Ovis aries: one gene and its partner. The protein of the gene in region 2 interacts with the protein of the main gene of each other region in a pairwise test. Links are inferred from orthologs where the notes say so. Each region holds a gene or a part of one and is shown on either strand. Other genes may lie near its edges.

The links. The genes of interacting proteins can lie anywhere in the genome.
Region 1: the proteins of MAPK14 (region 2) and DUSP1 interact in binary tests that used the Homo sapiens proteins (3 or more experiments, as listed by UniProt). The link is inferred for Ovis aries from reciprocal best matches to the Homo sapiens genes MAPK14 and DUSP1.

What each region holds. Positions count from the first base shown.
Region 1 is NC_056069.1:4,708,739-4,716,257, forward strand, and holds DUSP1 (dual specificity protein phosphatase 1), read right to left. Parts: upstream 3,955-7,519; 5' UTR 3,714-3,954; coding exon 3,347-3,713; intron 3,072-3,346; coding exon 2,926-3,071; intron 2,562-2,925; coding exon 2,342-2,561; intron 1,912-2,341; coding exon 1,541-1,911; 3' UTR 862-1,540; downstream 1-861. UniProt on the Homo sapiens protein: Dual specificity phosphatase that dephosphorylates MAP kinase MAPK1/ERK2 on both 'Thr-183' and 'Tyr-185', regulating its activity during the meiotic cell cycle.
Region 2 is NC_056073.1:10,091,490-10,099,211, forward strand, and holds the start of MAPK14 (mitogen-activated protein kinase 14), read left to right. Parts: upstream 1-3,325; 5' UTR 3,326-3,327; coding exon 3,328-3,443; intron 3,444-7,722. UniProt on the Homo sapiens protein: Serine/threonine kinase which acts as an essential component of the MAP kinase signal transduction pathway.

The DNA.
Region 1 (7,519 bases), on a different chromosome or scaffold from region 2:
TTGGCAAGACAGTGAAAATCCAGAATATTGCCCTAGAGCAAGCCAGATTTAATTGTCTATCTTCTTCAACAAAATTATGAAATCAGGGCAGCAAGTGACCTGAAGGAGGCTGCCACCAAAAATGCTGGGTACAGATGCGGAGATGCCCAGGGAACGGGCTCCAAAACAGTAAGGGTCAGGCTGGGGTGGGGGCTCCAGGTGACTTGTCTGCATTGTATTGGCTTACTGTGCTCAGTATTCCTTTCATAATTAATAAAGGTCTTTTCAAAAGAAAAAGAGCACGTGAGGAGCAAGTTATGAAATAAAAAGGCCATAAAATTAGGAAACAAAACAGACACAGGGCCCAACTCCCCCACTTGTGTTCCTTAGCTATGCTGGGTCTCTATCCTTTACAGATCTTGCTGAGTTGTTCTGGGGTAAGCACAGCCCACCTTGCACATGGTAGAAACACACTTGTGCCAAGCCTACTGAGAAACTATCTTTATCTCTTTAGTAGAGATCAGAGGAGGGGAGGAGGCTTTTTAAGATTAACCTGGGGGAAGGTATTAAATGAAAAAAGCAACCAAGCATATGGGCCACTTATTCCTAGTTTTGGCTCTGGGTACACTTGGGTTCCCTGTGTGACATGTTGGGAAAAACATAGGCAGACACTCGAATTCATTACCAAGAGCAGGTTCTAGTACTTTTTAAAAATAATTGATCACATTTCTCTACCACCCTGGCAACCCAGCCATCTCATGGGACTGGGGGGCCACCAAGGAGTATGGGATCAGATGCCAAAACATATTCTGAAGGACCTTGTTTTCCCCTATTCCAGTTATGGGAAAGGAATCAGAGGGCTGACCAAGAAAAGCATCGAGATTTCAATAGAAATGCCATAATTTATTCTGTTGTATAAAAAAGTCATCCTTATGTAACAAAATGTCTTCTTAGAAGAAGATATATATTATTTCAGGTCATAAATAATCAGCAAACATACAACTGTTGGCAACTTAAAAAACAAAACAAAATCAACACTGGTGCTTTCCAGTGTTGAAAACAAACCTGCTTAGGATATATTTACAGGATATTACAGTACTCAAACACAAAAATTGAGGTATTTGGTTCTTCTAGGAGTAGACACTGACATTTGTGAAGGTGGACCGCCTACACAAAAATAAATAAAACAAAGTATATTCTCATATGTATATGCGTTGTCGGGAATGGTAATACTGGTAGGTATGTCAAGCATGAAAAGTGTCTTCAGAAAACAGGGACAAAAAGAGAAATCGGCTCTCACACTTGAGTCCTCTCTCTTCTGCCCCTTTCTGTCCGAGGGACTTGATGTACGCACTGTATGTTGGTCCCGAAATGTGCTGAGTTCAGCAAACATCTTGGCGTGAAGTCATCATTACAACTGCTCAGGAACCCAGTGGAACTTGGGTGAAATTAAATAAATAAAGACCAGCCCTCACGAGCCCCCTTCCCTGGAGTTATTGCATTTCCACTTTCCAGGAGCCTGGAATCCCGGTGGGTTGTGAAGATCACCTCCCGTGGCTTTTCAGCAGCTGGGAGAGGTCGTGATAGGGCTCTGAAGGTAGCTCAATGCACTGTTTGTGGGGTGGACGGGAATGGAGACCGGGAAGTTGAAGACAGTGGTGGTGGAGGTGCTGCAGTCAAGCACAGCCATGGCGGGGCTCCCCGCCTCTGCCGAGCAGTGGGGGGCCAGGACCTGCGACTCAAACTGCAGCAGCTGGCCCATGAAGCTGAAGTTGGGGGAGATGATGCTTCTCCTCTGCTTCACGAACTCAAAGGCCTCATCCAGCTTGACTCGGTTAGTCCTCATGAGGTAAGCGAGGCAGATGGTGGCCGATCGGGAAATGCCCGCCTGACAGTGGACAAACACCCTTCCACCAGCATTCTTGATGGAGTCTGGAAAACAAAGGGCAGCTGGTTATTTGAGAGCCCAGGAGAATAACTCCAACCAACCCCAGGTGTCTAAGAAATGCCACATGTGTCCTGTCCAGTATGGTCGATATCACCTCATGTCATCACAGACATACTGTCCATGAAGGCAATGTGGGCACAGTGGATTTAAACAGCCGGGGATTTAAACCCAGGCAAGGCATCGCCACTAAGCAGATTGATATTGGACAGATCAATTCAACCTGAGATTCAGTTTGCTAATTTATAAAGTGGGACATCGAAACTGTACTTTGCAGGGATGCTGCCCATGCCAGACTGATTTTAATGTCTAGAGGAAAGCTTAAATCTATGTTGCTCAAGTTCTTGCCATGGAATTTAGTCTCAGTCACTGAAACAGAAGGAGTGTGGCAAAGTCCCAGGCATCTGCTCCACTTACCTATGAAGTCAATTGCCTCATTGAACCAGGAGCTGATGTCTGCCTTGTGGTTGTCCTCCACGGGGATGCTCTTGTACTGGTAGTGACCCTCGAAATGGTTGGGACAGTTTGCAGAGACGTTGATCAAGGCAGTGATGCCCAAGGCATCCAGCATGTCCTTGCGGGAAGCATGATAGGCACTGCCCAGGTACAGAAAGGGCAGGATCTCCACTGGGCCACCCTGAAATCCAGAAACATCCAACGCTTGTCAAGCTTTGTTCAACGGCAATGGTGGTGCCCACATCCACAAAACCTCCCTCCTGGATAAGTTAGTTTCAATATTGGGTGAACCTCACAGCACTGTTAAGAGTGTCAATAAATAAGGGACTAAACCCATTTGCCTAGGCAGGGCCAACAAGCTAATTTCTGTAGTGCCAACAATTACAGGCTCGGCTCCATCATGCCATGTAACCACGGGATAAATGAAATCTCCTGTGTCCCCTGTTATAAATAAAGCTGCACGTCACTTTCTATATTTTCACTAGCGCGGCTCTGCCACCTTTGCCAGCTCTTCCTTCTCCCCTCCGGCACAGCCCCCTACTAACCTGATCGTAGAGCGGGGTGCTGCAGGAACTGCACCCCGATTCAGCGCTGTCAGGGACACTAGTACTCAGGGGAAGGCTGAGCCCCATGGGGGTCGACTGTTTGCTGCACAGCTCCGGGTAGGAAGCAGAAAAAGCTTCATATCCTCCTGGGAACACAAAGAGACACATATTTTTCATTAGTACCGCCGAGACAGGGTACCTTCATACAACTTCCTCATCCACCAGAGCTGGAAGTTTAGCCCGGGGAGCCCCAGGCGAGTCTTTGTTCCTAGAGCCAAACAAAGCCAACAAGTCCCCACAATGCGACTCAGGCGTCCAAGCTCTCAGGTGGAGCAGCACCCCCCGCAGCTGAGAACCAGGGGTCCCCAGACTAGGCGGCGGAGGGCGTGAGGCCCGCCCCTGAGCGTCCCCGAAGGCGTACCTTTGAGCAAAAAGATTTGCGCGCTGCGCGCCTCGCGGCAGAGCGCGCCGGCGGCCAGCGCCAGGGTGCCGTCGCGCTTGGCGCAGTCCAGCGCGGCGCTGCGCTCGTCCAGCAGCACCACTGCGTGGTAGGCGCCGGCCAGCAGGCGGCCGCGCAGCTCGGCGTTGGGCACGATGTGCTCCAGACCCATGGCGCCCTTGGCCCGCCGACGCACAATGGTGCTGAAGCGCACGTTGACCGAGCCGGCGATGTGGCCGGCGTTGAAAGCGAAGAAGGAGCGACAGTCCAACAGCAGGCACTGCGCCGCGCGCTCCCGCAGCAGCGTCCGGAGGCCTCCGGCGTCCAGGGAGACCACTTCCATGACCATGGCCGGCCCCAGCGCCCCCAGCGTGCAAGTCGTCCTACGTTCTTTGTCCCGGGAAGCGAACAGCAGGGCGATGGCTTTCGAGGAAAAGCCCGACCCCGGTTTTCTTTGCGCCAAACCCAAACTGCCTTTGGACCGAGCGAGGGGTCGCCGTGTGGGACTCTCGACCGCCTCGGCTTCCTTGTTGCTCTCCCGACGGCCCTTCCACCCGCGATTCGCCCAGGGCCCCGAAGTCTTTCGCAGCGAGTCCGAGCCGGCGGAGAGCGTTTATATTGTGGCTCCGCGTAAGCAAGCGGGGCGGCGCGGGGCGGGGCGCGCGCGCGCGCGCGCTGTGGGGGAGGGGATTGTTTGTTTGAATGACGGTCACGTGACTGGTGTGGTGACGTCACCCGCCTTGCCGGGTTTGGCGCCGGAGCAGCCAAAGGCGAAGACGTCAGCGGCCTCCGAGTGGGGTCCGCTGGCTAAGCTCTGGCTCGGGCTTCGGCCTCCGCCCGGCCGTCCAGCCTGCGCCTGGCGCGTCCCTAGGGAGCTGGTCCGGGCCACTCTCCGGGCCCAGCGGGGAGGGGAGAGGGTGGGCGCTCTGCCAGCCGAGGGCTGACTCCCGTGTGCGAGTGCCTGGGAGCGGGCCGCGTGCCATGGGCCCCCGCCTCCCCCTTTCCACCCCCTCCACCGCGCCGCGTCCCGGCGCCCGCTCCTCCGCCGACCGGAGCCGAAAGGGGTCTCCTTTGTTACTGGATACACAGGCGCCCCTTTCTCTCATTTCCCCGTACCCAGCAGGCGAGGAAACACGGGTTCCCGAGGAGAAGCGATTTATTATACTTGCCCAGTATCGCACTGCTGGGGGTGAGCGGGCCGAGGGGAGACTGAAATGAGGGTCGGAGAAAAATTGAGTTTGTCCGCTCAAGAACAACCGGGGTAGGTTGGGGTGGAGGTGTTCAGGGAAATACATTCCTGTTCCCCAGGCTTTCCTGTTACTTTAAAATGTACATTTAACAAGTAAAATGCGGTCCAACCAAACCCCAAGCAGAAAAATGTCAATCCTAGTCATGTGGTCCTTACGTGGTTGTGAGCCGAGGAAGGCGGGTCAGGGGTCTGAAATGAGGGTGGGGGCCGCAAGGTGCGGTTGTGGATTGCGGACGTCCGGCTTTTAGTGAGGCGACCCCCCGCCCAGTGCGGATCGACAGCGCCCCCGCAGGGACCGCCAGACACCTTTCTTCTGCTCGCGTTTTCTTAAGTCTCAGCGGCTTCATCTCTTTGTGGTGGTTTCTTCAGATTCTTTGCGACCTCATGGACTGGAGCCCACCAGGCTCCTCTGTCCATAGAATTTCCCAGGCAAGAATACTGGAGTGGGTTACCATTCCCTTTTCCTGGGGATTTTCTTTTAGTCCCCAAACATGTACTGATTGAGCGCCTACTAAGCGCCGGGCTGGGGACTGCAACTGGGAACCGGAGCACCGTCCAGCCCCAGGGCCCTGGTTCTTGCCATCAACGTGAGCTGGTCTTGAAATATAATCCTACAGCATTTTAAGAGGATTTACAGGACCTGGACAAAGGTTTGGGGAGACCTCCATAAGGTCACCCTCATCCTGGGCCCTAGTGAAGCCCTCCGACCTCCCGATCCCCGGCAGCACCACACAAACACAAATATTGCGCCATCAGGCTGGGGTGCTGAGTCAGGAACATTCTGTGGTTTCCTCCCCTCTCCTCTAGGAGAGCGGGGTATTTCACTAACACCCAGTGTCGTTGATCCGCTGGTTGTATCAGCAGAGGCAACTTCTGCATTTGCCTCGCTTAGTGTTCTCACATGCTCAGACTTTCTGCCTAAATTCTAAAAAAGTAAAAGGCTAAGTGCTTTTTTAAAAAGAGCATTTTTGGCCTTCAGGTGAACACTGGCTGAGAACAGCAAAGAGGTCCTTAGATTATGGCAACACCCGCCCTGTATCTTTTAAAAAAAAGAGAAAGTATTTGTTTATACTACTTATTCAGCTGAGGAACTCAACATATTTTATGCATTGAATCATGAAATGTTACAGCTGCTGACTTTTCACAGCATACCAACTTGATCTATCCCAAGTTGTGTGTGTGTGTGTGTGTGTTTTACCAAGAGCAGTTTTTAATACCTACATATTTTCAAAAAGCAAACTTTTTTTAATGCAAATATTAGAGCGGTAAGTGGCAGTGTGGCCCTACAATCAGGTGTCTGCTGAGCTCTGCACGGTTTTCCTCTCTAGCCTGTCTAGAAAGAGCAGAGCTTGGCCCCCATGCTGTCATTTTGCTCCTGGGTGATCCTAGCTGAATCTCTTCCCCTAATGAGCCTCTAAGCTGACATCTGAACAATTTTCTTACAACTGCCTACTTTGTGAATGATTTGAGGCCCAAGTTAGAGATGATAGATATAAGGAGCCCAGGCCCTACCCATGCCTTCTTGCTATGATTCACTAGATCTTTTGGTCTTCCCCTTCCCAGAAGAGCACTTCTTATATAATCAGGCCATTTTGTGTTTCAGCATTTGGCACCAGAGCTTGGTGAGAAGGTCACCACTGGATGCTGGTAGGTGAAGCTGGTACAGAGGTCCCTCGCTGAGCCCAGTCAACACACAATGGCTCAGGTTGGGGAGTGTGGTGGTAAAGATGAAGCCCCCTAGGCCCTCAGTCCAGGATGTAGAGGTGCTACTTCTGGGTGGAGATGGAGCCAAAGAGGGCCCAACATAATCTGGTCTGTGGTGACTGCAGAGGCAGAAGGGACTGGAATTGTGGCCCTGGGAGGCAGAGGAACATGAAAGAGCATCAGGGGATTTTGACTCAGGGGAGGGAACCTGGTCTTTCTCACCTGGGCTCTTGCTGATTTTAGATGTGCTCAGGAATAGACCTGGAGGCACCGTTAATGTGTAGCTTGACAGTGGAACGTGGCTTTTCCTCTCATGTCCCGACTCCCTCCTTTCTGTGACGGAGGTAAGGACATAGGGGCTGTGGGGAGACTGAGTAGCCACGATTGATTTTACATTCCAATCCCTGTCCAAATCATGCCCTCAGAGTTGGCTTTGGACCTGTTCTGAGGTCACTGGAGGAGAAAAAATGGTGCTCTCACAGATGCTAGTCAGAAAGGAGCCCCAGCTCACTGTCTGCTCTGTGACCTTGGCAGGCAGATCGCTTAACGCTTCTGAGCCTCTGTTTCCCCATTTGTAAACTGGGAGAACTCCCCAGTCCAAGATGGCAGACTAGTGTCTCAAAATAACCTTCTTCTAGCTCAGCTGGTTAAGAATCCGCCTGCAATGCAGGAGACCCTGGGTTGGGAAAATCCCCTGGAGAAGGGATAGGCTACCCACTCCAGTATTTCTTGGGCTTCCCTAGTGGTTCAGACAGTAGAGAATTCACTTGCAATGCAGAAGACATGGGTTCAATCCCTGGGTTGGGAAGATCCCCTGGAGGAGGGGATGGCAACACACTCCAGTATTTTTGCCTGGAGAATCCCCATGGACAGAGGAGCCTGGTGGGCTACAGTCCATGGGGTCACAAAGAGTCAACTGAGCGACTAAGCACAGCAGGGCCCAGCACAGGGGGGTTGGGAAGCCCGTTATTTTATAGGACAGATAGGGGGAGGAGTGAGGAAGTAAAGACTATTATCCTACAAATATCTCTTGGAATGGCCAACCTCAGGAAGGGAGAGTGTTAATTTCTTCAAGCAGAGGGCCAGGGTTCCCTGAGGCAGGCCGTTATATATGATTATAATAAAAACAGTGAAAAACAAGGTTAAAGTCAAAGAAACAGATCCATCATGGAGTCAGAATCGGCTCTTAGGAGTACCATCAT
Region 2 (7,722 bases):
ACAAGAACGACACCAGTGAGGTCTAAAAAGCAGAAGGCGCGCAACTGGGCATCAAGCCTCGGGAGGAGGATGGCAGCGGGGTGCGTTGATCAGGGGGAGGCTCCGGCAGCAGGCCAGTTCTGGGGCTTATGACGGCTCAGACCAACGAGTGTGGAAGGAGTCAGCCTGCCAAACGCACGCGCCGTCTTTCCTCATGGACTTTCAAAAGCAGGGACCGCACAGAGAGAGAAGCTCCCAGGGAGGACAGTCATTCATTCATTCCGCAAACACTGACTGAGTGCCCTCGACGAGCCTGACCCTGCGGTGACAGTGGCCCGGGGACTTCCGAGTATAACGCCGGGGCCGGGGGGAGTGGTCCCCGCACCCAACGCCGGAGCCCGGGCCCCGCCGCCGCCACCACCTGAAGCCCCGGCCCCGGGCGGCTCCCTGGTCCCTCGGCTCACCTGGTTCCCGGGCTACGGCGGGAGGGCGGGCGCTGGAGCCGGAGGCAGCTCCGGCCGGGCAGGCGGCGCTGCGGACGCGGACGCCGGCGGTTCCCGAGCCGTTGCGGCCGAACCCGCGGGCCTCCTTGATGCCAGGCCTCGCGCGCCGCACTTGGCGTAAGTGATGCACCCTAAGTCTCCCGACAACTCTTGTGGACAGAAAACGCAGGAGGAAACTGGAGGCTAAGAGGGTCCCCGAGATCTCCAACCCCGACTGAAGGACGCCCTCCTGCCCAGCTCCTCCCCCCAAGACCCCTTAACCTTCTGAAGCTCAGTCCCTGTCACTGCCTCTCCCTGTGTCTGCATTCCCTCTTTGCCCAGTTGCAGTTTTCCACTTGCTTGATTACTGTAGTAATGTCTAATATATTATTCACTTTACCTACGGCTTTAAAAAATACATTTACGTCTTTATTTAGCTGCATCAGGATTTAGTTGCAGTAAGTGGACCTTCCATCTTCCTAGCTGCAAGTGGGATTTAGTTCCCCGACCAGGGATCAACCCAGGGGCTCTGCTCCAGGAGCATGGAGTCTGAGCCACTGGACCAACAGGGAGTCCCTACCTATACCGTTTGTAATCTGTCTCATCCCCAGAAGGGCAGGAATTTTTATGTCTTTCTTTAATTGCTGTATTATTGGTGCCAGAGCAATGTGGTAGATCTAGTAAGTGCTCAATAAATCTGTGTTGAAGAAGTGAATGATTGTGCCACTACTCACTGTAGGCTCCACGTAGGCAGCCGCTATCTGCCTTTCAACCAACTTCCCATTAGAAGTGCCTGGTACCTAGTAGGCATTCAATATATATTTGCTGAGTGAGTGAGTGTATTGCTCATCTTTATTCTTTTGCTCACTCTCATGTCATCATCCCAATTTGTTGGATAAATACATGAATTTCTTAGAATTCCAGCTTCCAAGTTTTCCCCCTTTTATCCATGCACTCACCTTGATCCCCTACTCTTACCTCTCATATCTTTACAGCTGCATTTTTGCTCTTGCTTCCTCCTACCTCCAATACTTCTTAGAAAGCTCACTATCTGCAGTTTGGCTTGGAACATTTTTAAGCAACATGTCTTCTAAGGCAAGAGAATCTAGGCTGTCACACTGAATCCAAAGAAAGCTTTCCGCAGATCACCTACGACCCTTGTTTTGGGTTTTATTTTATTTTTCCTTGACAGCTGAGGATCCTGCAATGCCACCTTAGTTGAGATCATGTCCTTGTTCATAATTTGCTCAGCAAATACTTATGGAGTAACTTCTATGTTCGAGGCCCTGAGCTAGATGCTGGGACAAGATAGGCAAAATTTGAGCACTTCAAGGGATGCATAACACAAAAGAGAATAGTCATGGATAGTGATGGGAAGTGTCCTGGCTTGAGCCCAGTTAGTTCTAAAAGAAATGACCAAGAATAAGATAGGGTCCAATTCTGCTTATTGAAACAAGTTTTAGGGTAGGAATAAGTTAATAGTGACATGAAGGTATGGGGTTATAATACCTTGCCCATTCACATTTATTATCTTGTTCAGCTTTCAGGTGGGAAATTTCAGGGCAGCAATTCTTTTTTGCATAAACTGGAACTAAGGTCTAAGAAAGGTCAATTGACTTGCCCAACAGGATACTGCCAGAAAACCACTATCTGCACTGTTCTTACTCTGAGAGGCATGATTACAATTCTTAAAACCCTCTTTGCTGGAAGCTCTTCAAGGTAGGAATCAGTTTCAAACCTTCAGGGTAAAGGTTTTAAAATGTTTCTCCAAGGGAGATACCAAGAACTTTTCTGAACCTGGCGCATTTTGTAAAAATGCACAGTCTTGGAGTCCCTCTGGGACCCATCTAATCAAACTCGCTGTTCATTTTTAAGCGCCCAAGGTGCTTCTTCTGCACGTAAAAGTTTGAGAACTACTAGAAGTGTCTGGGTGGAAAAACCTCAACCTTAATTCAGGGCTAATATTTACCTTTGAGACAGATTTCGTCAGCATTCCGAAGAGTAAGTGTATGTCCTTGAGCAGATGGGACTACAACGGCTTTCTGGCCGGAATCTTTCTCTTTTTTATGCAAGTACTTCTTGGAAATTGGGGGTTTTCCGCCGAGCAGGTGCTCAGCTGCTGGTGATTACCCACCGTTTAAAGGTCTTTTGGCTCTTTTCCCAGACACCCGATTGATTTGTCACTGTCTCTTTCCAACAGGGAGCCAAGCACTTGCCCCGCCGACCACGATGGGGCGCGCGCGGCCTGTATCGTCTGCTTCTCCGCTCCTTCCCGGGTCCGCCTTCGCGCGCTAAAGGAGAGCAATCCCTGGGAGTTCCTGCCTCTAGGGGCCAGCTGTTGCTCTCTTCTCGCGAGAATTACTTCTCCCAAGCTCTCCCTTCATCAACCCCCCTCCCGCGGGCAGGTTCCATATTGGGTAAAATCTCGGCTCGAGGAGAGGTCCGGGAGCTGTTCTCGCGAGAGCACGGCGGGAGGCTCCTGTTCGCTGGCTCTGGGAAAGGCGACCACTGGAAGCTCCGCGGGCGCTGCAGCTGGAGCTGTGACCCCGCCGCGCAGCCGGGAGTCGGCCGGGTGTGGAGAGAGCGCAGGGAGAGCTGGGCGGGGCGCCAGCCCAGGGCCCCGGAGCGTGCCCCGGCCCTTCGCAGTGCTTCCCCCGCCGTCGGTGAGGCGCGTCCAGCCGCTGCGGCTGACAGGGGCCGCGCGCGCGCGCGGGCTTCTTCAGGGTCGCCGCAGCCGCACCTGCGCGGGCGGCCAGCGCAGGGGTCCCCGCCCGGCCGGGCGGGCTACGAGGTCAGGGGAAGCGGGTGCGGGTGCAGGCGGGGCCCTGCAAGGGCCACCTCCTCGCCCCGCGGCCACCGCTGGAAGATGTCTCAGGAGAGGCCCACGTTCTACCGGCAGGAGCTGAACAAGACCATCTGGGAGGTGCCCGAGCGTTACCAGAACCTGTCCCCGGTGGGCTCCGGCGCCTATGGCTCTGTGTGGTGAGTGTCACCGGGCCGGGGGCCTCGCTGGGCCGGGTGTCTCCGTATGCCCTGGAGTCAGGCCTGCCCCCACGGCTCAGCAATGCACCCAGCGGCAGGAATTTTCCTTGGGGGGAGGGCATCCCAGCCCTCTTCGACCCCTGTCCTGCACTCCCTGTCCCCCTTGCACCCCCACCCTGCACGCCCACGTAGATGGTCAGCTGTGTGTAGGACGCAGGTCCGCTGTGGGCGGTGGGTGATGGTGTTGGAGCCGGGCCCTGACTCGCACCCTGCGCGTTCCCTTGGGGGTGGGGGTGGGGGTGGGGGGGCGGTGCTGCTACGGGGGCAGGAACAGGGGTCCCTCTTCGGAGGTCTCTCCCTGCTGGCATCGAGCAGAAGGACTCTCTCGAGATGTGCCTGCCCTCGGAGCAGACAAGCCCGGGAAGCTGCCCGGAGAAGCAGAAGGGCAAAGCTCGACTGCGGTCATCTGAACAAAACTGAGGACGAAGGGCGTTGAGTTCGGGCTTTTTTGCAAACCTCTGTCGAAATTGCATTTTGAGAAGGGTTCTTTTTGAATTCGCACTTGAATTAGCAGCTATCCAGGGAGCTTAAAATACCGACTTTATCTCGGTGAGCCCTGTGCCAGCTTGAGTGGTGTGTTTCCGATTCAGTTGAAAGCGTATTTCCTTTTCGCAGAGTGGGGGGTGGTGGTAGTGCCTGCAGCTTGAGAAGCTGGCGGCCTCGCTGATTAGTCACATACCACTGCTCATTTAAGTATTGTTTGACAAAACGATTTTCTCCTTTGGAGCAAGTGAGGTTCAGATCCGTTGGACGCCCTCAAGATCAAAAAGTTTTTAACAATGCTGCGATGTATTATAAATATTTTTTAATCGTGATAATTCTTGTGAAACACTGTGTTTTTAAAGTCCTTTAGAGGGTTTGCAGAGAACTTAATCTGCACTTAAGGCCTGAGAGGTACATAATGGTTTTCATGGGATATGGAATATATAGCAAAAGAAGGAAGAGACACTTTTCAGCTTTAATTCACACTATGAATGTCTTTTAAATGAAACGCTACTGTAAAATTTCCAGACTCAGTTCACTAACTTTTCTAACTTCTAAGGTTTTATACACTGTATTTTAGATTTTGTGTAATTTGAGAGCTGACCTGAAGCTAATTCATGTAATTCCTGTGCATGCATTATTTGCAAAGAGGTCTACAAAATTAGTTTTTTGTTTCGGGGCAGGTTCCAGGCTTTTAGACTTGGTAATCTTTGAATATAATTCCTGTGTTTCTTAAAGCCCCAGCATGAATTTCCTGTTTGGTAGAATCTTCTGGGTAATTGAGATTGTGCAATTGTGTCCAGCAACAGATCATATTGCGTTTTCTAGTTCAGGCTGCTTGAGTGATGTCGCTGATGGCCCTATGCTTGACATCTTTTTTCCATTTTTATAGCGTGCTGTTGATTCGCTAATTTTCGAAGATGTGTTTGGATCATTGCTGCTTTAATAGCTCACTTGTTTACGGCCAGTTTTCATTCTGGAATTGACACATTAATTTTTGTGGTACTGAATTTTTGTTTCCTATCATTGTTGTTTAAACTTTAGTGGAGTGATACGGCTCAACTGTGGGGAGTTAGTGAACTGCTTGCAAGGTTTCCCTACAGTTGATGTGAGTAACTCAGCCCTGGCACTGGAGATCCAGTGAAGTGCTGATAAAACATGAACTCCACATTTTTTAGTGCTTTATTTTTCTGGTTTATAGAAGCCATCAAAACTGACACTTGGAAGTAATTTTGTTAAACAGGTTTTTAAAAGTAGGTAGTACATTCACATTGTATAAAATGTAAAAGGCATAGAAAGACAGTGAAAAGTTTCCATTCTCTTTGTCCAGCTGGACTAGTTCTTTTCTCAAGAGACCACCCCTGTTAAGTTTCTTGTGTGTCTTTCTGTGGAGGCAGTTCTGCTAAGGTTGTTTAAGGTGTAACCTATAACATATTGGTGGAGAAAAATAACCAATATTATGTGACAGTTGACCGTAAACAAGTATAGTTGATTTTGGATTGAAAATATCAGAATTTACATTCACATGTGTTATCTCATTCAGAGTAGTTATTTCAAGTTGTTCTTTCAGTCAGCAGCTTTTAGGTGTGGCAGAAAAAAAAAATGTTTTTTAAACTTCTCTTAGAATCCACTTTGGAGCCTGTGTTATTTTTCACTCTCTTCATTTTTTTTTTAGAGCAGATTTGATTTTAGGAAATAACGAAGTTAGATTGAATCCAAATCATTTAGAGAATTTGGGCTCAAGTCTGGTGAAAAAGATCAGGCAGCCAGGCTGGTGATACTGTTTGAGGTCAAATAGGAGTTGTAACCGTAAAGTAATGACACAGAATTTCCTGTGGGACTTGTAGAACTGGATTGAAGTCTGTTCCAAAAAAGAATCTCTGAAAGTATTTCAAGGAATGCAACATCACTGAAATAATGTGTCAGTTTCCTAATTTGATTGCTCTGAAGTGTGATACACTTTGATGTGTTAACTTTAAAAATTAAATAATAAGCCAATTTTCAGTGTTTTCATTTGTACTAAGTATCTAGTAACGCAAGTATGATAACTAATCGTGAATGAAAGATCAAGAAATCAAAATAGAACTTTGAGTATTAGAGTTTTACAAACATACCTTTCCTTCTTAAGGGGTAAAGGGAACTAAACTAAAGCTTGCAGCTTTAAGGAACTTGGTGCGCTGTCAGTGAGGGGAAATGAAGCAAAATTGTTCAAGAGTACGGTGTTGCAAAGCATTGATTTTGTGGTTTAGGGACGAAAGGGGCGGGGGAGGATCTTTGTGGTGAGTTTAAGGAAATATAAACAGGAACTTAAATGCCCTTCCTCTGGTGTATGCGTTTTCCAGACTCTTGCCTTTGATTATAGGAGGTGCGGCAGTGGTAACCATAAAACAGGTAAGAGATCAGAATTATTCTTAAACCATATTGAATCACTTATTAAGTAATATTTATTGAGCACCAACTATGGACCAGCAGCTTAGCACGCACACATCTTTAGGGGCGTCCCAGGTGGTGCTAGTGGTAAGGAACCCACCCGCCTGCCAGTGCAAGAGACACAAGTTTGATCCCTGGGTGGGGAAGAGCCTGTGGAGGAAGAAATGGTAAACCACTCCAGTATTCTTGCCTGGAGACTCCCCATGGACAGAGGAGCCTGGTGGGCCTCAGTCCATAGGGTTGCAAAGAGTCGGACATGCCTAAAATGACTTCACACACTCATGGACCAGATAGCAGGCTAGGTTTCTTGAGCTAGACTGTTAAACAAGACAAAGACAGTTCATTCCCTGGTAGGTGTATAGTGTGATGTGAATAATAACTGCATTTTATGGATTGCTTTCTATGTTCTGGGCATTGTTCTGTGCTGTTTATATTTATCATCAGTATATAAAGTATATACCAAAACTTTGGTAAAAGAATGGCAAAATTTACTAAGAGGTCAAATTCAACATCCAAAATGCTTTGTGAAAATAAATGTAGTAAAGATAAGTGAAGCTAAGTTTTTTAGTATTAATAGCCACTCATCATTTTAAATCTTGGGGAAAAAAAAAAAGAGCCAGGGCACAAATAAATAAAAGAATGTCATTATAGAGTGTGCAGAGGTGACTTTCCTGACTCTTAATCAGTGAAAGGGGTATATGTGTGTGTACTAGTTGCTTAGTCGTGTCTGACTCTTTGCAACCCCATAAACTGTAGCCCATCAGGCCCCTCCGTCCATAGGATTCTCCAGGTAAGAACACTGGAGTGGGTTGCCATTTCCTTCTCCAAAAGGAACTATAGAAAGAAAGAAAAAGTGAAGTCACTCAGCTGTGTCCGACTCTTAGCGATCCCATGGACTGTAGCCTACCAGGCTCCTCCATCCATGAAATTTTCCAGGCAAGAGTACTGGAGTGAGAGGGGTAGTCTTTTATTTTTCTAGTGGTGATAGTAAGCCCTTGCTGATCTTTCTTTGCATTTGCTCTTCTTTGTAAGCAAAAGCAAGGTGATTGGCTGCATGTTACCAGTACCAACCAATAAATATTTAAACACAATGGCAAAATATTTGTATTATTGATATGTGAAGACTTTTAAGAAAGAGTTCGTTTAAGTTGGCTATAAAGTCATTGTTTGTCAGATTCCCATTTTCCACAGGCTCCCATTTGAAAATAAGGGTATCCTGAACCTCTCGAGTTTCAGTTCTGCCAGTTTAATTCCTTGCTACTGAGGACTACTCTGCCTTTGATTTCCCTCTGCTTTAGCCTCAAAG